Neodiprion lecontei: one gene and its partner. The protein of the gene in region 1 interacts with the protein of each later gene in a pairwise test. Links are inferred from orthologs where the notes say so. Each region holds a gene or a part of one and is shown on either strand. Other genes may lie near its edges. The genes, in order: alpha- and gamma-adaptin-binding protein p34 and AP-2 complex subunit sigma.

Evidence for each region.
Region 2: the proteins of alpha- and gamma-adaptin-binding protein p34 (region 1) and AP-2 complex subunit sigma interact in binary tests that used the Homo sapiens proteins (3 or more experiments, as listed by UniProt). The link is inferred for Neodiprion lecontei from reciprocal best matches to the Homo sapiens genes AAGAB and AP2S1.

The regions. Positions count from the first base shown.
Region 1 is NC_060260.1:7,895,860-7,907,915, reverse strand, and holds alpha- and gamma-adaptin-binding protein p34, read right to left. Parts: upstream 5,181-12,056; 5' UTR 5,012-5,180; coding exon 4,948-5,011; intron 4,846-4,947; coding exon 4,673-4,845; intron 4,551-4,672; coding exon 4,436-4,550; intron 4,175-4,435; coding exon 4,013-4,174; intron 3,860-4,012; coding exon 3,737-3,859; intron 3,630-3,736; coding exon 3,448-3,629; 3' UTR 3,362-3,447; downstream 1-3,361. Other genes in the region: uncharacterized protein LOC107220945, read left to right, coding at 7,684-7,762. UniProt on the Homo sapiens protein: May be involved in endocytic recycling of growth factor receptors such as EGFR.
Region 2 is NC_060261.1:36,409,738-36,421,456, forward strand, and holds AP-2 complex subunit sigma, read left to right. Parts: upstream 1-5,897; 5' UTR 5,898-6,040; coding exon 6,041-6,043; intron 6,044-6,252; coding exon 6,253-6,402; intron 6,403-6,646; coding exon 6,647-6,820; intron 6,821-6,920; coding exon 6,921-7,022; 3' UTR 7,023-7,104; downstream 7,105-11,719. Other genes in the region: cystathionine beta-synthase, read left to right, coding at 775-884, 971-1,320, 1,404-1,657, 1,747-2,017, 2,098-2,538; trafficking protein particle complex subunit 6b, read right to left, coding at 3,153-3,554, 3,737-3,862. UniProt on the Homo sapiens protein: Component of the adaptor protein complex 2 (AP-2). Adaptor protein complexes function in protein transport via transport vesicles in different membrane traffic pathways.

The DNA of each region.
Region 1 (12,056 bases):
CTAAAACATCAACATTGACATCTTATCATTCCAATTACGTAAAAAAACAAAATTACAGCGATATCTCAAAAATTGAATATGAACCTTGAATAACCGATTCAGAAAAGATCTTTCATCTATGAGACGCTGTGCCACAAAGGGTTAATTCCTGCTCATGCTCGAATAAAATGAAGATTAAAGAAATAACTCGTTAATCTTGGATAAAAAAAAAAAAAACTATAAGGATATCTCTTTCATACAGTTGAAAGAAAACGAGGATATGTTCTCATGTCTCTCGTCGCGGAGTAAAAGCCTGCACAAGTGGCATATACGGGGTGTTGAAAAAATTACCAATTGTGAACGGTGTATCCGTGTTATTATGTAAATACACTGTTATTTTCACATACAGTGCAAAACAATAGGTATCTTTTTACCTAAAAATTTCACGATTATGATAATACATCGTATAATATGTACTTTTATTCCTCGCGGTAAAAATGTCGATAACAGTCTGCGGTTATTTTATCCCGCGTGTTTCTAATCTGTATACAATAAATCCGTTGCTTTTCATCGATCACGAGTAACAAGATGGTACCAAGTATAATTTTTCTGCTACAGCAAACGCCCCGAAATTTCTTCTTTCCGAAGACTCCTGTTTTTCTATTAGGTAGGCACCTACATACCTACATACCTACACTTGCTACAGGTATGAGTAAACCATGAGGTCTGTGCACGTATATGTACTTATGTTTCCGCGTGTCATTTACCCAGCTGACATACCGCGGATAAAGAGAAAATTTATACGAGAGAGAAAAAGAGAGAGAATTAGAAGGGGCTGAATCATCATCCGCGGAAGCTGCTTGCGGCGTGTCCAGCGTTTTTACATATAATCATGCGAGACTTCACTCGGGCAGGCAAGAGGTATAATACACGAGACAAGATCTTCCTTTCGAATTCTTGGCGCAAGGTTTCTTTCAAGGAATTTTCAAGCTAAGCAAACATATCGGTATTCAACCAACGCACGCCTACGATCACCGAACCTGTCTCTCTCCTCTGGGCGGGATTTTACTGGACATCAGTGTCCAGTTCCACGGATTTTAATACGACGACCGCAACTCTCGAACACCGCTCGGAATCTTAAAGTCCAAGAAATTGCGATTTTTGCCTCGAGTTGGTTCGAGATTTTACCAATTTTCAAGGCCCCTCGATTTATTTACCCGGATCGGGTGTGGTAAGTGTACCAATTAACGAGACGTTTAGAACCAATTGTTGACCCTTGTATTTTTCAAAATTACAAATTTACGGTACAAATTGTGAATTTCTCGAGGATTAAAACCAATTGCTAGAGAGTTGGACGATAGAAATAAATTTTTTTGTTATTCAAGAACTAAGGATCAAACAGATGGAACAAAAAGAGGTCAATAACCGGTACACGTACCTTAACTCTCTAGATCGTAATGGCGTATTTCTGCGAGAAGCGGAAACTGCGGAGTCTCTTCGTCAAACCCACTATAGTTTCAAGATTTCTTATTGTAGCAGAATAAATAAAATTTACGAAAATAGCCGTGGTTCACGCGATGAATCCTAATTTTACGAGCGCGATAAAATAACGACTTTCGTCTGCAAGCCGGCAGCAGGTGATGGCTGTAACGCACGCTCGCTCAATGCGATGTTACGACACATAGAAATAATGCTCAAGGTGTGGAAAAATGTCGTCGTAATCATTGACGTTCGATAAATTCTATCTACGTTCACGGGCAAAACCGTTTATCGCTTTATTCAAAATAAGGGATTTTTTTCTATGGGTATTACAATAAATAAGACTGTCTTGCACAAAAAGCGCACCCATTAACTTATCGTACCTACACCTGAGACCGATGCTTGAAAGATCCGCAAAAGAGAAACTCTTTATTTTTCTCATCTCGTCGCATACAGAGGGGAAAGTAATGTTAAACATTTTTGGAACGCGGTGACGCGTATAATGATTTCAAGCTTAAATGCCATACAATCGCGTATAATTAACATACACACCTCGAATACTTATAATCTCTTTTGCAAAAAGCAATATCAAGTCTCTCCGAAATTGAAAATTGATGTAGGTAGCGTGATATTTGAAACTGTGAGTAAAAGGTAAAATGTTGAGCTCAAAACTTAGCCGTAAGAGTTATTAAAAAAATATGTTTTTAAAGTATTTTACGTTTTGAATCGCTTTACGCCGATGTAAAATTAATATGGCCACGATTGGGAATACTTGGGATTTTATTTCAAATCTAAGATCATTTACAGGACTAACCAGTCATCGAATACTGTATAAAGCCAATTAGAATAACGACGAGAATAGCTTATTGTTAGATGTGATATCATCTTTGATGATGTCCCGCAAAAACGACTGACAATAAGCTTATAACGAAACTGATTTGCGTGTAGACGCGCATGTCTTACGATCTACGTCTCAATTTTAAATTTATTTCGAATCCTACAGGAAAAAAGATGTTGTTACGTTATCGGTTTCGTAATAGGATATTCCTAGAAAGATCGTCGTAAGGTAAAATAAAGCAAAAACTCATTAATTTCATTGCCTCGACTCGTTTGCCACACTCGACCAACTCTACTACTGGCACTTTAGCTGAAAATTATGCACAGTTGAAAATGTCTTCAAATAAATTCTGTCCTAACCAGATACGAGAAGGTACGAAAACGTCGAAAAGATTATAATCTCTCCTGACCTTCCAAATCGATAGCAATTGCGTCACATTTTTTGATCATTCTGGAGATAAATTTACTCAGCGGGAGTTCACACTTCTAATTGAATAATATCTAATGGTTCGTTTTTAGGGGAATGCAATTCAATATCATACGTAAAGTTGAATAATTATCACCTTAGCGGACAGCTTCGATTGAATAATTTTGGTAAATCAGCACTGCGTCACTGATTTGCATTAATGTTTTCATAACGGTAAAAAAGGCACAAAACCGAGCATCGGTATTTATTACAGCTATATACGTGTAATCGGTAAACACGGGTCATCGAATAATCAAATTAAATTCTTCAAATGGCTCTGTTGCTATCGGAAACCGTGTACAACATTAAAATTAATGTACGATATCGGACGAGAGAAGACTAAACTTGGAAGTCAGTTGGAACAAAAAAGAAAAAAAAAAAAAAAAACAACATTCGTCTCTGACAAATCCGAATTCGTCGAGTATCAAGTGTTGCGGCGAAGCCCAGTTCGAGTTCACGTTCAAGGTTAACGGATGAGCAATCGACGCCGAGGAATTCAACTACAGCTTATCATCCGGTACATGGTGTGGGGATAATACTGCGGATCCTGATGTGCGGCCGCGTTGGCATAGGAGAGATTTGATTCAGAACACAAAAATATGACTATGCTTATATATTTATTTACCATATTCAACATATACATAATACATGTACAACGCGTCTTCGTTTACATAATGATACCTTCTTCACTGGTCCAGACCGTCTATCTCCTCCGGATCTCCGCCCATCGCTTTCCAGAATGCTGTTACCAGTTCCTCCGCCGCTGCCCGCCTCTGATTCTCCGGCAAAGTAGCCGCGTGCTCCTTCATCGCGAGTAACTGACCAAACAGTTCGCCGAAATCTGCGTTCTCGCCTCCCATCATACCCTCTGCAAGTTTTGTTCAAATAGGCATGTCGTTTATTTAAATTCGTTGCTCGATATTTACTCTCACTTGTAAGACAGCGAACTCTTCATCTTAGGTCAATTATTCTCACCCAGCATGTGCTCTAACTGCAAACCCTGGGACATACTGTGAATCCCGTTCAAATGAACACCCTGCAACTGTTCGTCAACTTCCGCTATATCGATGCATCCGCTTTCTGGTAGCGTCGAACAGCCTGTCAAAAATACCGTCTCTATTATTAAATAAGTGCAGCATGCTTTTTTTTCTTTAAAGATAGTTCACGGGTGGATCGCGTACTTTGTACAAAACTGATTTTTTTCATTGACTCAACGTATGAGAAAAAACATCGTTGATACAGCAGTTATACCTTTGAGATCCATGTTGGGCCAAGTATGAGCATGAAGAGCTTCGACGATTCTGTCAATGCCGTGCTTCTCGTTTTCATCTTCCGAATCATCTGGATTTTCCACTGCCTCGGGGCGATTGAAGTCGACGAGTTCAAATTTGTACTGTGCGCACCACTCCAGGACTAGTAGAATAACATGATTAACTCAGGGATCAATTTGTCGCTACAAACTTACAAGATGGAAGTTAGTAACGATGACGTAATGAAAATTGAATTTATTTTTCACTTCCAAAAGGACTGAATAAATGAAGTTTTCAAACTATGAGTACGTTTCGATTCATCATTTTCAGACAACTCTCAAGTTGCCAAATAACAATCTTTCCTTAAAACGCACCTTTACTTCAATGTTACAAACTCTGTGAATAATGCTGTTGCCAAACTTACCTCGTTCACCATTTCCTCTTTGGATCGTCGAATCCCAAGCGAGTATTTGTACTTCAGCCTCGGAAAGTGAACTGATCAGCGGAGCCCATTCGTCCAGCGCATTTGTTCCATTCTCCTGATGCAAATGTTGCAAGAAAGTTGAAAGGAACACTTCAGATCATTGTTAAACGCGAGTACAGTCAGCATCAGCGACACGTAAGAATTTAAAAAAAAAGCTCTCGTATAAGTACGACTTACAAGTCGACCGTCGTAGTAAATGATTAACGCCTCGACAGATTCGGAGTCAATTTTGACAAGAGGGTTGTCGGTGGTGCAGAGCATAACCTGCGCCTTGTAATATTTGTTCTCGATGTCCCAGAGGTAGTAGTTGACAGCATCATCCTCGGTGTCGAGTTCCTTAGCCCCGATATCTGCGGAATATACCGTTGATGATATTACCAAGTAATTGCTTACAAGTAGCTGCTCATCCCCCGAATCGTTCTTTACCAAAGCTGGGAAGGCTGTACACGTACCTCTGGCTATTTCATCGGCCTTTCCGCTTGCCGTGCTGGCGATAAGCACGCGAGGTAAATTCATCTTATTCCGAGTCTGCGACGCTTATCCACTTGCTTTTCTCCACTCACAGAGATTGTTAACGACAATTGAGAGGTGCTATAAACCAGCACGCGCAACGGGTCTACTAAACTTCAAATTTTAGGTTAGGTTCGCTCGACCACTTTGACAGCAGTCGACGTTCGACGATCGACGCGCTTCGAGCTATCGCGTCTTACAGCTGGAATTTTAAACCTGGCTGCTGCCATGTGCGTTTCATTCCGCAGACGAGTGTCGAACACCGCGGATCGGCGAGTTCTTATCGGTATCGCGCAACCCTTCAATTCTCTGACGAATATGGCTGAACGGTCGTATCTCGCCCCTCCCAAGTGATTGAAAATGACCGGAATCAACGTCGAACGTTGCGCTTTCCATATTAGCTTTCCAGTCTATTTGCCGACTAAAGAAAACAATTTTTTGGCGATGAGACATGAGTGAGTATGAATTTGTTTATTCGGTTTATTCTTACGTTAGTTGAACCGCTCGTAAAGCATTTTGAGTAATTCGAAATTCTCAATATAATGCTCAAGGTGGTTCATTTTCAAACTCTCTTTTTTTTTTTAAGGTGTTCCTCGAAAATTTGTTACGAATAGCGAAATAAAAATTGTCGTAAAACCTGGAGGTGGTAGGAAAATATTTAGAGTTCGCTACCAATTATTATATATTATAGCACATCAAGATATTTTTTATTTATTTTTATGTGTACACCATACGGACTTATATATATACATATGTCACAGTTTGTTTATTTCGTATTGCGCTACAATTAATCAATGTTCATAAAAATCAGTACTGAAAACGAAACAGGGACATTAAGATGATGTAATACTCCTCTTTCTGTAACAAAAACTGTTATTCAAACTTCTTCGAAACGATTAATCTTTCGGATAAAAGACGAGAAGAGCCAACTGCGGAATTGGTAGGCGCAGTTTGCTGTTGATTGATGAAGGATTAATTGCACCAAAATACAAAAAAAATAAACCAATATATATATAGGAAAATGTATGGAGGTCGCTACCAATTACTGACTTATATACATATATAAGTCCGTAAGATGTAACCGTAAAAAAATAAAACAATATTTCAGTAATTGGTTGCGACTTCCATACATTTTCCTACCTCCTGCAGGTTTTTCGACAGTTTTTTTCAGTATTTATCACAAATTTGTCGAGTGACAACTTAAAAGAACAAAGTTTAAATATTAACCACCCTAATAATACTGTAAGCATCAGACTTTACGCTTGATTATGCTCCGATTGCCGTATTACCTAATAACGTTATCGTAACGATTCGTGTTGTGGAAAAACCGTTATTGAAAGATGAACGATTAGGAGGTCTGATCATCATCTGTTTGATCGATAACGATGCGTCCTATAATATAGCGTTAAATATTAATTATACTGTGATTAGGAAGGTGTTAAAATTTGATCAGAACTACGCTATACGATCAATATGTTCGATAAATCGACAAAGTCAGATTTGAGCCAAAATCATTCTTTTTTTTAATCGGTAAGCCACTTGTTGAGTTATTTGTGAAAATACAAATATTCGTTTGAACAAGTTTGATTATTTATTGACCTACGAGTAATTGAATTATAAGTACGCAACTGCAAGGAAAACTGAAGACAGGTTCTTGCAGGCTACTAAATTTTTCCCGCTTATTTATTTATGCTCTCCATTTTTAAACGTCACATCCATAGCTTGAAATATGTAAATTGTTTTCAAGTTACAAATATCTCTGAAATTGTCAGATTTTCACAGTTTATACGTTTGAGAATGTCGAAATATGTTTAACAACTTTACATTGTTAAAGGCTCGTTACGTACCTGTCTATTGAATGAATATTCGATTAAAAGAAAGTGAGAAAAAAAGAACATTAGAACTGAACTAACAATATCACATCGCTACATCAATATCTATATATTAAACTATAAGGACACTTTTGTTTTGTTGTTGTTTTCCATATCTTTTTCATTCCAAACTAACATCTTCTCCAACGATTTCTCAGCCAATCAAATCCCGGATATACGGAGACAGTTTTTTCAACAAACAGCAAATAACTGAAAATACGCTCGGCGATAACGTGGCGCCCGTTAAGGGATGACGGTGCCTCTTCATCCCCTTTCACCTCGCCCCCCCCCCCCCCCCCCCCCCACCCACCCTTCCCCTCCCAACGCCTCTTCCCCGGGCGTCGCGACGCCGGCGTGAAGGATACCCGCTAGGGCAATAATTCCGTAAAGACAGGACAGAACGGAACGAAACGGCGAAGGGTCAGGGTAGCTCTGCCGGGTGGTACGTTGATTGAGGCGTGCAGATCCCGGTCCCACGGCTCACCCTCGTTTACAGAGTCTCGGAGTGCAGGTCATGAATTAAATTGTGTCCGTGATCTCGCGGCCCGTTCACCCCTCGGATCGTTATTGAGTTGACAAACTTGTCACCTGTTCGCTGTTTCAAAAAAGAAACCTAGAAGTAATCCGCATTTGCCGTATACGTATACCGACTTACACATCTCTGCACTAAATCTATCGGAATAATAAAATAAACAAAATATAATCTTCGTGTAAACATTAATTGTGATCGTTCTGACGCCAAGGGTATAAAGTCGAATCCCTGATCGACTTGACGTTTCGCCAAGCACATGGTCCGGTGATTCGATCATGATGATCACTCTTCGCAGACTCTTGCCAACCACCGCCGTTATCGCCTGCATCCTCTTTTTTAGCCTCTTTCAACACGGTAAGTGCACGAAAGTGATTATCGTCCTTCTCCGATTCCCTCGTTTAGTCGTAATAAATTGTTTGTCGTGCAATCCTGAACGACGAGATAACATACTTTTTTTTTTCTGTTTGCCCGAATACTGCGATTGACTGTCGATAATTGATCGATGTAAATTCAATCACTTTCGTACAAGTATTTCGTGGCAAAATTATTATTATTATTTTGTTTTTGACCTAATGAAGAAAATGCGATTCCAAACGAATGCGGGCAGAATCTTGTTTTCATTTATACGGTCGAGCATTATTTTGCAATTGTTGAATTGACAAAATGCACTTTAAAGTGAATTAAGCACGACAAGGATGGGACGGACGTACCGTTGGAATGTGGGTGAAAGCGCGGGTCGCGATAACTAGGGTGCAAATGGGGTGGGGAATGGGGAATGGGAAAGGGGATTAGGGGTAGGATGCAGAGCTTGGAAGCAGATATCTCTAAGCAGCTCTCGGGAAGTCGTAGAAAATCCACCGTACCGTAGGCCGAGGTAGGGCTTCGGTTACATGAGGAGGAGAGAGCGGAGGTTAGCAACTATTCGATGTATAGCTGCTAAATCAGTTCTAAAATAGATATGAGGAATTTAGCACAAGTCGATTTAATTTTTACAAGGAAAACGCAATTGCTTTTACACAAATTGTCGATACGATTTGTATTGTGGCTCGTTCTCAGCGCGGTGATGATTGAAAAAGTACGCGGTAGCGAAGATAAGATGAAAAATCATGTTATCGTTTTTCAAAGGTCGATGCAAAAATTAATATTCATTTTCACCAAATGGAATGTATTTTTTCAACAACAGAACATCACTGTTAAAAATTATCACATGGAACTCCCTACGCTGTACTGAAAGTTTTATTCGGATACGGAACAGTAAATTCACCGTACATTTACTGTTTATTCAAATTACCGCCTTGTGTTTCTCCTATAAATTTTAGTAAAATCCAAAATCTAATTTACGTCGCTACACCGAATTAGCAAATCTACAATCTGATTTCGTAAATTGACAATCTTTTGTACAGCAAATGTGTAGTAGATCCACAATCATTTTCAACAGTGCATATCACCATGTTAAAAATGGTGACGTTGAGGTATAAACGAAGCATTATAAAAAAAAAAAAAAATCACTGTTTTGCAATTTCAGAATTACTTTGAACGAGTCAAGTTTTTGAAGTACGAGTATGAAATTTTGCCTTATTATCGTTCGCTGAATTTCAGACAATTCTTGCAATATCGCGAAATAAACGATTTCACAACACGTCATTGCAATAATATTACTAACTTCAATCTCACGACTCTAATCATTGTTTCCATAATTCTCTCCGCGCTTCTTCACGTTACGCACACGGCGTATGTCTGAAAAGTTTCGCTCGATGTTCGCCGGGCAAGCGAAAGCGAAAACTCGGGGATACCGAATCGAAAGCGGGCTCGTCAGGCGATTTTCCGGTTCTCGAATTTCCAAATTTTCCCTATATGTACAGTTAGTCGGCAGCCTCCCGGTGGCTGCAAGCTCCATGGTCTTTCCCCGTCGGGGATATCGAGCGACCCACTTTTCCCCCTGCAGGGAAGGCACTTTCAACATTTGCGAGGAGGTGTTTCTCCTTATGATAATAACGACTTCTTGTACTCCCCGATATCAGTTTCTTCATTTTCCGTGATGGTCTTGCCGCAATTCGCGATGCGGATTCACCCTTATTCCATGCGAATGCCAGGGAATCGTGTCGAATCAAGCTCGTGTTTATCATCTTGTCTCGCAATCAGCACATCGATGCATGCACGACGTATAATACCGACTACTGTCACAGATGATAAATATTGTACCCGTATCTTGACTGTAATTCGGTGGAATGCATTATATTCAACGTGTATCAATTGACACTTTTTGAAATTTGAGAGCGAAAGTTTCTTCGTAGTGTTAATTGTTTCTCTTTTTTTTTACATATAGTTGCACAGATTTGCTTGACGTGATTTTTTTTCACGGTTTTATTTTTCCATCAATTTGTTTATATCAATAGTAATATATTATGGTTCGCGATAATACATGAATCGTTCACCAAAATGAAATAAGATACCGTAAATGCTATTAGAATATGTTCATATTGCATTAATTGAAATATAACAATATTGCTAACAAGATCATGATCTATATTTGATACGTACGTAGATTTGTGGCGCCCCTATTTTATTCACTCGATACGTACGAAATACTCTAGTTTACAATAATGAAAATATAAATTTTTCATCTGCCGTTGTTAAAACTGATTTTCATACACAGCTTACGCTTCTCATAATAATTTTTGCGTTGTTACCACGTGAACACTATTGACGGGACAGTTAACTCGCGAAAAATCCATCTTCCAACCAACAATATTATGACAGCATTTATCACTTATCGATACATCAAAAGGCGTACGTGTTAAATGAATAACTTTACGAAAATGAAAAACTTTCTAAAATCCATACTCGCATTCCTGTAGCTGAATAATTTATATATTTTTTTTTTCATTCAAATTAGTACACGCGAGGAAAAGTGGGTTATTGTTTTAGTACATGGACGAGCAACTCAAACATATTATATTTAAATAAAAACTGGAAGAGCGATCGTAGAATATCAATAAAGGTTGAAAAATATTTTTTTTAATTCTCGCCTACAATTTCGACAATTTCTTCTCTTGCAAAGTTTTCTACAACTTTACTAAATATATAATGTATATACATATATAACACATATATTCCGCTAGATTTAATTATGCAAATACGTTTCCGATACTACGTAGAACTGACAAAACAAAAAAAAAAAATCTACAATTATGTATCAACGCTATCTTAAGAAATATTCTTAATTTCTTCGTGCTTCGCTAGAAGCTAAAAGTTTTGGATTTACCCATATAACCGATCTCTCTCCTCAAACTCTTGCGCGAATACGCAACAAGGCTCAACCTTGATGAATTCTTATATGCTGTATAAGTCGAATTAGCGAATTTACATTCTCACCGCGTTCATATGCCCAAATACGATGCAGTCGATACATAGATACACGGAATTTATGGATGTACGTACGTACGTTATACATCGTTTCTCAACGGCTGTGTATGTGCGTAGTTATACTCGTTCCACGTTGCATAATTATTATTAAACACAAAATGTGTCCAATATATATTGTTGTATTATATTATTATCTTCGCCTTATTCAATATGCGCCACAGGTGCGTGAAAACTATTCACAGAGATTTATCTTAATGTATAATATGTTACGTTCTCAGATCGTAAAAATGTGTCGTGACTCGAAACAAAGCGCGGGTCGAAAATAAAATATTTTACCAATTTTTCATAACGTTGTCATTTTCACGCACTGCTGAACAAGTTAATTTCACGTATCTATAACAAGGGGGGAGACATCGTCGGTCGGTTCACTGGGCGAAAAATGATGTGTTCCAAAATCCTCGCTAACAAGGGAAGGACAACTGTCCAATAAAAATAAGTACTGCACCTACGTAAGTGCGAAAGGAACAAAGTGGGCCAGCTAACCGAGCCGACACTCGTGTTACGTGTGACAATTCTTACAATCGGCCCTTTGTTACGTAGTCGGCAAACGCGAAAACTTATAACGACGTTAAAGGAGATTGAGTAGCAAAAAATCGTTAATTTTTTAAAGAATTTTATTACGGAATAGTTATTGAATTACATAATGTTCGTAAGCTACGAAGAATAATTTAAAAATGCAAAATTCAAATGTATGAATGAAATTACAAACAAAAATTTCAATATCGATGTTTAATTTCAAATCGTTTCGCAATGGTTAAGAATCTAGACGGAAAATTTTAAAATTTCACTGAAACATTTTTTCATGTTGGCGTCGTCATCAATGTTTAATTTACTATCGCAAAAAATAAATCTATTCCAATGACTCTGTAGAAAATAGTCTTCTCAGTAAAATGATCAATTGTAGTCTGAAACCGAATAGATTTATCAGATTTTCAACTATTTTGGAACGATTGAAAATTGTGTATCGAAATCTGAATTTCATTTTGTTCATAATTCCAGTATTTTCTATTGTTTTATTTTTACAGAAATTTGGTAGCTTACGAATATAATAATTTGACAAATACTCAAGTTGTAACTAACCTCGTGATAAAATTAGTAAAAAGTATCGATTGCTGGTGAAGCAACCTCCGTAAGGACGTAAAGCTATTTCTAGAAGCGCGGAAGAAGAGATAGAATAAAAAATGACAAAAGTAAAGAAGCCAAAGACGTTTTTAAGCACATA
Region 2 (11,719 bases), on another chromosome or scaffold:
AAGTATTGTTGATCAAAGCATTGATGTTTTTTCAATTTTTTGACAATCGAAGTTAGCAAAATTATAGAGAACTCAGTCTATCGGAACAAGTAGAAGATATCGAATATTACCCTGGCGATCGATCATGCTTGCGTGTAAGACAACATTTGTCATTTGTATAATTGTACTTTTGATACAAACCGGTACATAATTCGTTACGGGCACAAAACTACTCGATACATCACTTAAAACTTTCCTTGTTAGACGTAGTTTACTTGCCATTTCATACTTATGCGCTTTGATTACATCAAATCCATATTTGTGTCGCAAGTTTATGCAGAGGCTGAATAAATACTTGATAACATCTACACCACACTAGCGTATAAAACTTAAACATCAACTTGTTTAATTTGCTGGAAAACAACTTGCACCATAATTTGATAGTATATGTCCCACATATAACAACTTGTCCATGATCCTGGAAAATTTTGAACAATCTCATCCAGCGTATTGTCAAATAGGTGTCGTAGAATTGAACTGCACTGAGCAAATGTATTATGCACGTTAAACAATTGCATTATGTTGAAAATTATGGAAACCTTACTCTCCAGACTATTCATTTAATGGACAAATGATATAGTTATTGAAATACTTGTCATTCAAGCCCGTAGAACACAGTGTTTGAAAACTTTGTTTTTGATAAGTGACTAGCCATTGTGAAATCAAATGCTCTTCGTGTAACATCTATCTGAACCAATTAATTATAAACTATACAATACGTGTTGTTTATTCTAGTCTTAATAATCGCAAGGAGGTACTCCCCAACATCCTGGCTGCTATTGGACAAACCCCTATGGTGCGATTGAACAATATTTGCAAATCATTTAATATCAAATGTGAATTATGTGAGTACTATTTGCAGGATATCATAGCTCATTTCTCGACTTGGACACAAAATTTTCAATTTCAATTAATTGTCGCTTAAATTTAGTGGCAAAATGTGAATTTCTGAATCCTGGTGGCTCCGTAAAAGACAGGATCGCGCACAGAATGATCCAAGATGCGGAAGACAAAGGGATTCTCAAGCCAGGATATACCATAATTGAGCCAACAAGCGGAAATACAGGTATAGGATTGGCGATGGCATCAGCAGTCAAGGGTTACCGCTGTATCATAGTAATGCCTGAGAAGATGTCGAATGAAAAAGTTGACACACTGCGGGCTCTGGGGGCTGAGATTGTTAGAACGCCAACCGAGGCTGCGTGGGACAGTCCCGAAGGTCATATAACAGTATCTCAGAAATTACAGAAGGAAATACCAAATAGCGTAATTCTGGATCAGGTAATTAGACATCGATGGAAATGGAAAGTTGGCAGACTTTTCTTTTCCTTTGTAAGACATGCTAACGTCTTTATGTTTTACAGTATACCAATTGTGGAAATCCTCTAGCTCATTACGATCAAACAGCGTATGAAATCTGGGAACAATGCAAAGGCAAAATCGATTATTTAGTAGCAGGAGCTGGTACTGGTGGCACCATTAGTGGGATCAGTCGCAGATTCAAAGAACTAATACCACAGACAAAAATTGTAGCTATTGATCCGGAAGGTAGTATTCTTGCAGAGCCTGCGGAAATAAATCAAAGTGAAGTAACCTTCTATGAGGTCGAAGGAATTGGGTATGTATTCCTTGTGTTAAACTAAGCAAAATTAGAATTTTCTAGATCACATTGAGTCTGCTACATATCTAACTGACATACATTTTCAGATACGACTTCACTCCTACGGTTTTGGATCGTGGTTCAGTTGATTTGTGGGTTAAAACGAATGACAGAGACTCACTGAACTGTGCTAGAGCACTAATACGTGAGGAGGGTTTGTTGTGCGGTGGAAGTAGCGGTGCATCTATGTCAGCAGCTTTAAAATTGGCCAAGGATCTACCAGAAGATCAAAGAGTTGTTGTAATACTGCCAGATGGTCTCAGAAACTACATGACTAAATTTGTATCGGACCACTGGATGGAAGCCAGAGGTTTTTTGGTACGAAATAACTAAGTGTTTAGAAAATAAAATTGTAAATTGAAGAAAAAGTTAAAACTGACTTCACTATGATGTTTCAGGATCCACCCCCGCCGGTAGAGGCGAACAAATGGTGGTGGACGACTTCTATTTCAAATCTTCGTTTAAATCCCCTGTCTACTCTACCAGCAGAAGCAACTTGTCAAGAAGCCATTGCGATTCTGAAGAAAGGCGGATTTGACCAAATTCCGCTTATAGAAAAGAATGGAAGTATCCAAGGGGTAGTAACTCTGAATGACCTTACGAGAAGTCTGATTTCGGGTAAAGTCAAGTCTACGGATTGCGCACGGAAAGTACTGTTCAAGCAATTCAGAAAGCTGACTACTTGTGCAACCCTCGGACGACTGTCACGAATTCTTGAAAAAGACGCATATGTTGTCATAGTAAATGCGAAACAAACGACCAGTGCAGTGGGTATTGCCACTCAAATGGATCTTTTGAATTATATCAGTGAACCGCACAGTAATGGCACTGCTGCTTGATCCGTCTATTTATATTCATTTTAAACTATTTGACCCAAGCCTCGCTTACCAATATTTCTGCAATGTAGATAGATTTAGTCAATTCTTGACAACAGTTGACAAACGTAATTTTTGTTTAGTTCTATTCTTTTTTTTTTCTGGAAATTGCTTGATTTTTTATACATTTCTATACTTGAATTCTGTGTATTATTATGTAATCCAATAAAACATGAGACTGATCATGTATTTGTATTTAAGTGTGGTTTTGTTATTTGTCAGTCCATGTGATACGACATGAGATATTTGAAGAATACTATTTGCACTGGACCAATATTTGATGACGAATTATTAAGGTTAAATAACTCGAATAGTAAATTGATTTCATTATGTTTTTTTCTACACCCATATTACGATCGCATGATTTATGTGTGACCTGGAGTAGATGGAAACATTACACACATGCACATATCGATGTCTTTTACCGAAATTATGTGTATTGTCCTGCAGTATTTGTTGCACTACGTCTATTAAGTCGATTAATGCATAATCACAGTCATTTACACAAATAATATAGTGTTTATACATTTTCAATAAAGTTATTAAATTTACATACTTATATAATTATTTACATTATTTTAAACTCTCTGTACCTGTACATGAAATTTGCAACTCGGTAATGTAGCTATTTCTGCTGTGACCGTACTAACTATTCCAAGATTTGCAAGGCTACCACGAAGTAGACCGCAGGTAAAAGCTAAGAGTCGTGGAGCCTCGCGTAAGTACTGCGTGCTATCAGGAGCACCGATGTTGGTTAGTAAACGGAATGCATTGTCATGTAGTACATATACTCCCTGATGATTCGTTCGCAAATTATCGATCTGCTTGCGGTACAAACTTGACCAAAGATCCATGCATATGAACTTAATTGTGTCCAACTCATCCTTGAAACGCGCCCATTCCCTAGTTAACCGTTCCATGATGCGATATCCAACACCGAATCCCATCCACTCCAAAGGCGAAAGCTCTTCTTCGCCCTCCTGATTTAAAACATTATTCAACGATTAGATAGTTGATTGAACATTCTGTCGAAGAATAACCTTGGGTTATGTTAACGGATTCAAGTAAGTTTGACATATGTTTTTGCAGACGTCCAGGAACGCGATGTAACTGTGAATCTTTGGGATGTTGGTCAGTATATTTAAACTGTAGTATAACTTGCCTTGCCGTTTGTTTTTGAACTCAGAACGTAATTCACCATTTCGGCATGCAAATATTCGAATAGACACTCGTCCGCTTCCCCGGTATCAGGGAGGTTTGTTTTTGTGTCAACGTTTTGCTGCTTCATAACGCAAACGATGATTTAATGGACCGTCAAGAAATAACAACGCCGATTATTGAACTTGCGTTCTGATCTGTCAAAGTGGCAATACCCAACACACTGTCAGTTTCGCCTTGTCGCTCACTAATAGCTGACAAATTACGATCGCTGATTGGTAAAAAATCTCTCAACTTTACATTTATTTTTTGTAATCTGAATTAAATTCAGTTTTTGATGTTTTATTCTGTTTATGGGTAGGTATTTGTCGATGATTCAACTCTAGACGTCAAATATCAAAGCTGTGTTCATTAACTACTGCTTTTCCCCATTGAATAAGCAGCTTTAAGGACGGTCAGCCAAAGGTATTTTTGCTAAGGTCGTATGCGAGGAGAGTCGACGCCACGGTCGACACAAAGCTACGTCGATAATGGAAAATACTTCTCTATCACTAGCATGGGCGATCGCTTACAGAAACGGCACCCTGAGATTCTCTAGAACTTCCGCATAATGACCATGATACAACTGCGAATGGCCAAAAAACTTGTAATATGATCCGTACATTATTGAAAATTTTCACTGCATACTATGAACAAAATCGACAATAAAAAAATTGAGATTTTTACAGGATTGTTTTCTAATCAACGTCTAGAAACAAAGAATATATCCACATGCCAACTGCACTAGGTACCCAACATTTTTGATATAGGTATTTTGCACTGATTTAGATATTACAGATCAGTGGTCCTTTGCTGTCGAGTTTTGCACAACTGGAGGTATTCGTCGAATGCTTAGCTTATTCTCAGAATCAGAATGCATCAACTACACGCTCTGAGTACACGGTCAAATTAACAAAAAATTTTATACTTTTTTATGTATGCGTGAAATTAATATAGGAAGCATGTAATTATCGAATATAAATCACAGACGATACAACCAGATGTAAAACATCACACACGATGGTATGACGTCAGGTTTTTCTTTACCATTCAATAAAATATGTCAATCAATAATAAAGTTTATCCCACAAATAAACGTCTTTTAGTGGTTCAATGTAATTATCGAATATAAATCACAGATGATACAACCAGATGTAAAACATCACACATGATGGTATGACGTCAGGTTTTTCTTTACCTTTCAATAAAATATGTCAATCAATAATAAAGTTTATCCCACAAATAAACCTCTTTTAGTAGTTCAATTAAGTCGATTGACAAGCAAGCACCATCCAACTGGAGAGAGGATTGATTTAAATGGAGGCAAAACGAGCGTATCGTCAAGTGATATCACAAACCCTCACGAAATTCATCTTAATGACAACATTTTCAGTAATAACTCGACGCCAGTACGAACATACCTATACTTGATACGTTACACAAAGAGACAAATCATATATCAGACTCACCCTTACGCCAAACGCCTGCAGAAAATCACGGCGCTCGTCGCAAATGTGAAGTTTCACCACTGCACTGCACATGACAATTGAAACGTTGAATAACAATTGTTCCAAAAAATTCTATAAAACTGATACTTCACTCACTGGTTCACCACTATTTGTTAGGGATCATGTACACGTGAAACCGATGATGCTGTAATCACAACGTCGTGGTTAACTTCAAGTAAAGGAGTATTGCACTGATTTCACTATATCTTTTCTCCTCCATTTTGATTAAAATTTTTAAAAGCGCAGCAATTCAATCGCGAGTGTCATTTGTTGTGCGTGAATGTAGTATACCTACCATAGACGTTGACTGAAGAATATACACATAACGCCGTGTTAAGTATTCAATACACTCGGTATAAATATCTGAAAAGAATCGCAACCTCGTAGCCGGCTGGTCAATAAATTATCGCGAAAATTGCCGAATTAACTCTACCACACAATCAAGCACAGCAAAATTCGCGCAGTTAACTGCGTGCTTGTCGGCTCGGCCGCCCTCGATCGTTTGTCAGGTGGTTCGGCGTCTTCGGCGTTCGCTCACCAACAAGATGGCGCCGGCTACCGAAGCGCCAATATTGCTCCGTGGCGCTACGGTGACACTAAGCGACGAACAGCCGAGAATTTGACTTGAAGTTGTCTGATCTCATTGCATTTTACACGCGTACAGATAGAATACTGATAAAGCAGGAGGGCGGACTTATCACACGAACCTAAAAAGACACTTGATCGAAAGTGTCACCTGTCATCTGTCACCCTCAGAGATAATGGCAAGTACTGCATGAGAATACGATCAAAATTTAATACAATTCAGCGAGAGAATTTATGTTTATTTGATTCCGTGCACCTTGATTAAAGGTTCAACTCAGTATCCAGAATTACGTTATCTCATTGAAATCAATATTATTGCTTGTTTATAAAATTTTGTCAGGTCCGTACAACGCTAGCTTGATCGTTTCTGATTATACATTTTTCCCAGATTCGATTCATCCTAATCCAGAACAGAGCGGGCAAAACTCGTCTTGCCAAATGGTACATGAATTTTGATGACGATGAAAAACAAAAGCTCATCGAGGAAGTTCACGCCGTCGTCACTGTTAGAGATGCTAAACACACCAACTTCGTTGAGGTTCTACAAGTTCATTGGATATAATATGTCTATAATTTCTTAGTTCAGTGCAAAGGAGCTTATTTTGTTTCGTTAAATAGTTCGACGCTTGATTCGTACAACAGTCACAAAGAAGGCTCAAAGTACATCTACTGATAATGAAAAGATTCCCAATTCTGGTTCAAATTCTGACACACTGAAGAAACTGTTTTTTAAAAATTGCTTTTCCTATGGTTGGCTTGACGCCTATGTATCTTGGTTTCAGTTCCGAAACTTCAAGATAGTCTACAGACGATACGCTGGCTTGTACTTCTGTATTTGCGTGGATGTGAACGACAACAATCTTTGCTACTTGGAAGCGATTCATAATTTTGTGGAAGTCTTGAACGAGTATTTCCACAACGTTTGCGAACTAGACTTGGTGTTCAACTTCTATAAGGTACTTTATCCTGCTGAAAAATTTTACAACGCATCTCATGTAGAATATTTAGTCTGTTGTTATAATAGTCAATCTCCTAATAATACCATTGTAATTTCAGGTGTACACTGTAGTGGACGAAATGTTTCTTGCTGGTGAAATCCGAGAAACTAGCCAAACCAAAGTTCTTAAACAGCTTCTCATGTTGAACTCCCTCGAATAATAAAACAAAATACCATTCCCTTAGAAATGTTCTGTATTTGAAAATCTCTCTACAATACAATCTCATGCTCCATTTCTTCTTACACCTCAAGTTTTGTTTCACATTTCTTTCAAAAGTCCAGCAAGTTATCTTTTTTGCAGCTTATACAGAATTCTTCTGTCTTACCGCTGGTTGATATCAGTAAAAGGTGCAACGTCCACTGTTCTATGTCGATAAGTTAGTTAAGCACGGTTATCAGGTTCCTACTTTATCAAGTGCTTGACTGCACACAGAACTCGCGATCACGAAGTGATCTTTAATTTTTTCTCAGAATAAATTGGAAAGAAAAATCTAGGGTAATTATACGAACGCCGAAAATATCTCAAACCTTACGACATCTTGCCGTTATGACGTCACTCTTTTAATTTCCAATAGCACGACTATTGAACTAGAAAGGACAGAAGCTTAAAATTCGATTTAAATTGTATTACAGATAGAAATTTGGAAAAAATGATAAAACATTGAAACATTATGTAGAGCCGGGATACAACAACAGATGAAAATACTAATTGATGACAATTTTCGCTACACTTATTATGAACACTGAATTGAGTTCGATAACATTGTGAATAGTCTCATTATATCAATGTGCTTCGGTATATACGTGTACAGGCGTAGGTTTTAATAAAACTAAAACTGCAAGCATGCATCGAATAACATGGAACCATTCGACAGATTTTTAATTAAATCACCCGCTGCAGCTCGCGAACTAAACAAAATTTAGTGATTTCCCCTTTCCCCACACGATGGCGATCGTCGTCGGGTGATCGCAAAATAAGAAGTCCATACTCATATTCAAGACGTCGAATTCACGGTCATACATGATATAATATAGGTACCTACATACATAGAAGATCAATGTAGATCCACGAAATAAAATGCCCATCATGCGGTGTATCCGTATTCACGTTTATTAAGTCGTAAACGTAACGCCCATGCAGGCTAATTGTCGTGTACACTAATTTGCTCTGGTCGTAAGCGTGAGGAGAAGAATCATCTTTGCCGGCGTTATTTCCTTTAGTTCATTCAACTCACTGGTTCGTTTCACAGTAAATCTAAATCACTCCAGAGAACGTGTCAAATTATTTCTAATCAGCATTATGCTCGTGCCGCATGAAACAGTGAGACCATGCGTGTCTGTCGAATTACAATAATATTGATAATGAACGATCACGAGAAATTATGAAAATTCCCATCTTCGATAACTGAAATTTAATAAGGTAACTTTATCTTATTAATTTTCTTCTTATATTTCTGAAAGACTTTTCACATTTTTTCCCGGCATCTCCTACGGGAAATGACGAGAAATTTAAGCAAGAGCAATATTTCTTGGTCAATTTATTCCCCATTGTGATTAATAATTCAAAATGTAATAACGAGAAACACTTGCCGATATTTTCATGCCCGCCGTCGCAGCAACGTCGATGCGCAATGATCGCGGTAAAAATCATTAACTTCCCTACGTGTACCTGAAATCGAAGATGTAGAACGAAGCTCGGAGTTATAAAACTGTATGAATATGTATAACATTTAGGGTCGGGGTTATCGCGGGTTATCGGACGACGAGAAGACGCAGTAGATCAGCCGGGAGCTTGTAGTGGCGGCGACCCCTGCAACTGATATCGCGCGTCGCTTCGCCTGGATACGCCTCTCTTGTATTCTCTCATAATACAAGAAATTTCATACATAAAATTCAAGCAGTTATACATACTTATACATATATAAATATTTTACACTAACGGAGACGATCGTCTTCGCAGCTTGGCGCCCGCACGACGTTCGTCGGTTTTTAATTTGACTATAAAATTGTGGAGAAGGTCACCGTCGTCGATTTTACAATCTAAAACAAGCAGAAACGATTGTTTCAGACCTCTCCAAAGTTTCAAGCACGCAATATTATAGCTCTGCTATTGTATCATTTGATTACGACTGCGGTATATGTATGTCTGGGATACCATAAAACCACGTACAATTAGGATGCACTCACAATCAGACTCCGTTATACGTTTCTTATATTATACGAGACGCCGGGATCTTGACCCTAATATAATAATGATACAGGGTATGGGAGTTTTTTTCTTTGATTAAAGTTCATGAAAAAACTGTCATTTTTCGTCATGTTTGGCCCTGATTAAGACACTCGCATCAGACACTCTCCAACTGATATGCGGCAGTCCAACAGAAGTTCTTGGCATCGGATTTCAGATGCGTTAGGTATACGTGTATGATATAAATATGTATATGTGTTAGTCTTTTAACTAAACGGTGAAGCTAATTATAAGGTACAAGAGATACAGTTTTTAATTCGACCAAAGTGTAAAGAGTGTACCTACAATGCAAAGAGAAAAATAACAATACATATTATATGCAATGGAGGTTTAATTTTTTCGCTTGGTTTATAATTGTTACACAGAAGCTGCCTGAGGATCTTTTTATTGCAGAAAATCGCAATTGCACAGAACGAATAGATCTTACACTTTGCGTGGCTAATTCCATTTCCTTTGCATAACATATACTTTATAACACATGTAAAGATCGGTCTGATACTGCAGTGTTTTCGGCCTGGGCTCATTGACTTTGTGGCGGGATTATTATGTTCAGTACATTTATACACGATGATAGTTTGACCTGCGTTACCACACATCATGAAAAATAATGTTGCGTTTAATCTCATACTTATAATATAATTGAACTTCTCGTCTTAAGGAGTATTACATATAGATCGGATGGTGTAAAATACATATGATTGACGGCAATAATATTATACCGACAAAGAATTCCTTCATTATATTTTTCATCTATATGAATAAAAATAACGTTAAGTTTTTTTATGTTACGTCTTACGCAAGTAAAAAATTTTTTTCAGATATTGCGACAAATTTGATCAAATTATGATGATGTTTCTGCATGGGTCAGCAATTTGACGATATGTCATATTTTTTTTTCATACCATTACAATTATGTCCAATTTTACACTGTAATATTAACGACGCAAGCGCGTATTACGTATCGTCAGAAACTCAGGATCACTTGGATTCTCAAGAGAATTTTCTGGTATTGAATCAAAAAAGAAATACATCTTGAAGCATGAATTATTCTGTTGAATGATTTTTCAGTACATCGAAATTCAATCAATTTCATTTGAATTTGTGAAAGAGAGGCGTAAGGGTGAACCTACGTATAAATGTTGCCAGAATACAATATTTCCGATTCGTATTACTGTATACTGTATATATACACATATATCTACACAAATGTATGTATATATATATGTATAAAGTCTTGCGACTTATCATTTTATTTATGACGAGGGTTTGTATCTTTTGACGTTTTTACTCGCCTCTATATTATACGTATAACGTATGCGACCGGTCTGTATATACTTGTAATATACGTGTATAACTGGCGTAGTATGAGGTTGACCTCATGACCACACACTACGGCTCTAGCATCAATCTTACGTAGAGATACAAAAAAGATAACGTAAACTGATACCGATAGAAATGTGTCTAGGGATGGCTGAAATTCAATATGTGGCAATTGAACCGTACATATAATTTCTTAGCGGATATGCATTATAATGTAACGTTACCGAGACAAAGAAAACAAGTTACGTTGCAATTTCCGCTAGATAACGATGTCTGACAAAGGGTTATTCACCCTCGAAAATGCATCGGCGGAAGAATCATCAGGAAATTATTACAATAATCAATCTTAACGATTTATGAAATACTTGATAGTTCGACAACTGTTTAAATTAATAGAAATTCAAGATAAATGAAAATTCATTAAAAAATGATTTACAATCGGCCAAAATAGTTTAGATCTACGATACTGTTCTGTGCTATGGAAACGGAGTGAAATAAAAGCATTATCAGTATTTAGAGGTAATTTGAAATGGAATAAGAAATTCGAAGCTTTATGCAGAAGCTAAGATCGATTACCAGGAAAACTAAGATACAAGGAAAAGTCTAGAGCATATATAATTATATGTAACTTAGGTAAGTAGAAATCGCACGACGATGATACGAAGTCGTGAAATCTCTTAACCCCGCGGGAGTTAGAAGTCACGTTGTACGAAAGTGAACAATCTCTCGGTCCTTAAGAAGCTAATTCTTATTTTTCGCGCAAGTCGGCCGTTTCCTGGGGTTAAAGAGTTTTGATTTTTTTACTTCCTCTCTTCCTTCGTCCCAACGACTGGTACGCCTGGAACTTTTTTCGCTCAGGTGCGGAGGGCCGAGTCACGATGATACATGGATAGGAAGAGACGGTGCAGATTTAAAGTAAAATGGGTCGGGGAAGCGAACACGTGCTGTCGCGACTACCGCATGATGGGACGGACCGAGTAGCTTCTCTTGCTTATACCGCGAGAAAGAGAGAGTGACACAGGGAGAGCGATGAGGACCCCGAGGGGTGTCGGGGGTTGGCGGAGGGGGCGGGTGGGTGGGTGGGTGGGGGGGGGGGGGGTGGAGATCGGAGGGGCCGAGGGCGGGTCGCGTAATTAAGAACGTCTTGAGGTCCTCCTCGTCCCCTTCGCCGCGGCGTACAAATAGCCGACGACCCCAGCGCGCGTCGGCGCCTCTCAAGTCCCAGAGTCTCAAGTCTCAGGTCTCAAGCTCAAGTCTCAAGTCTCACGTGTGCCGAGAGAGAGAGAGAGA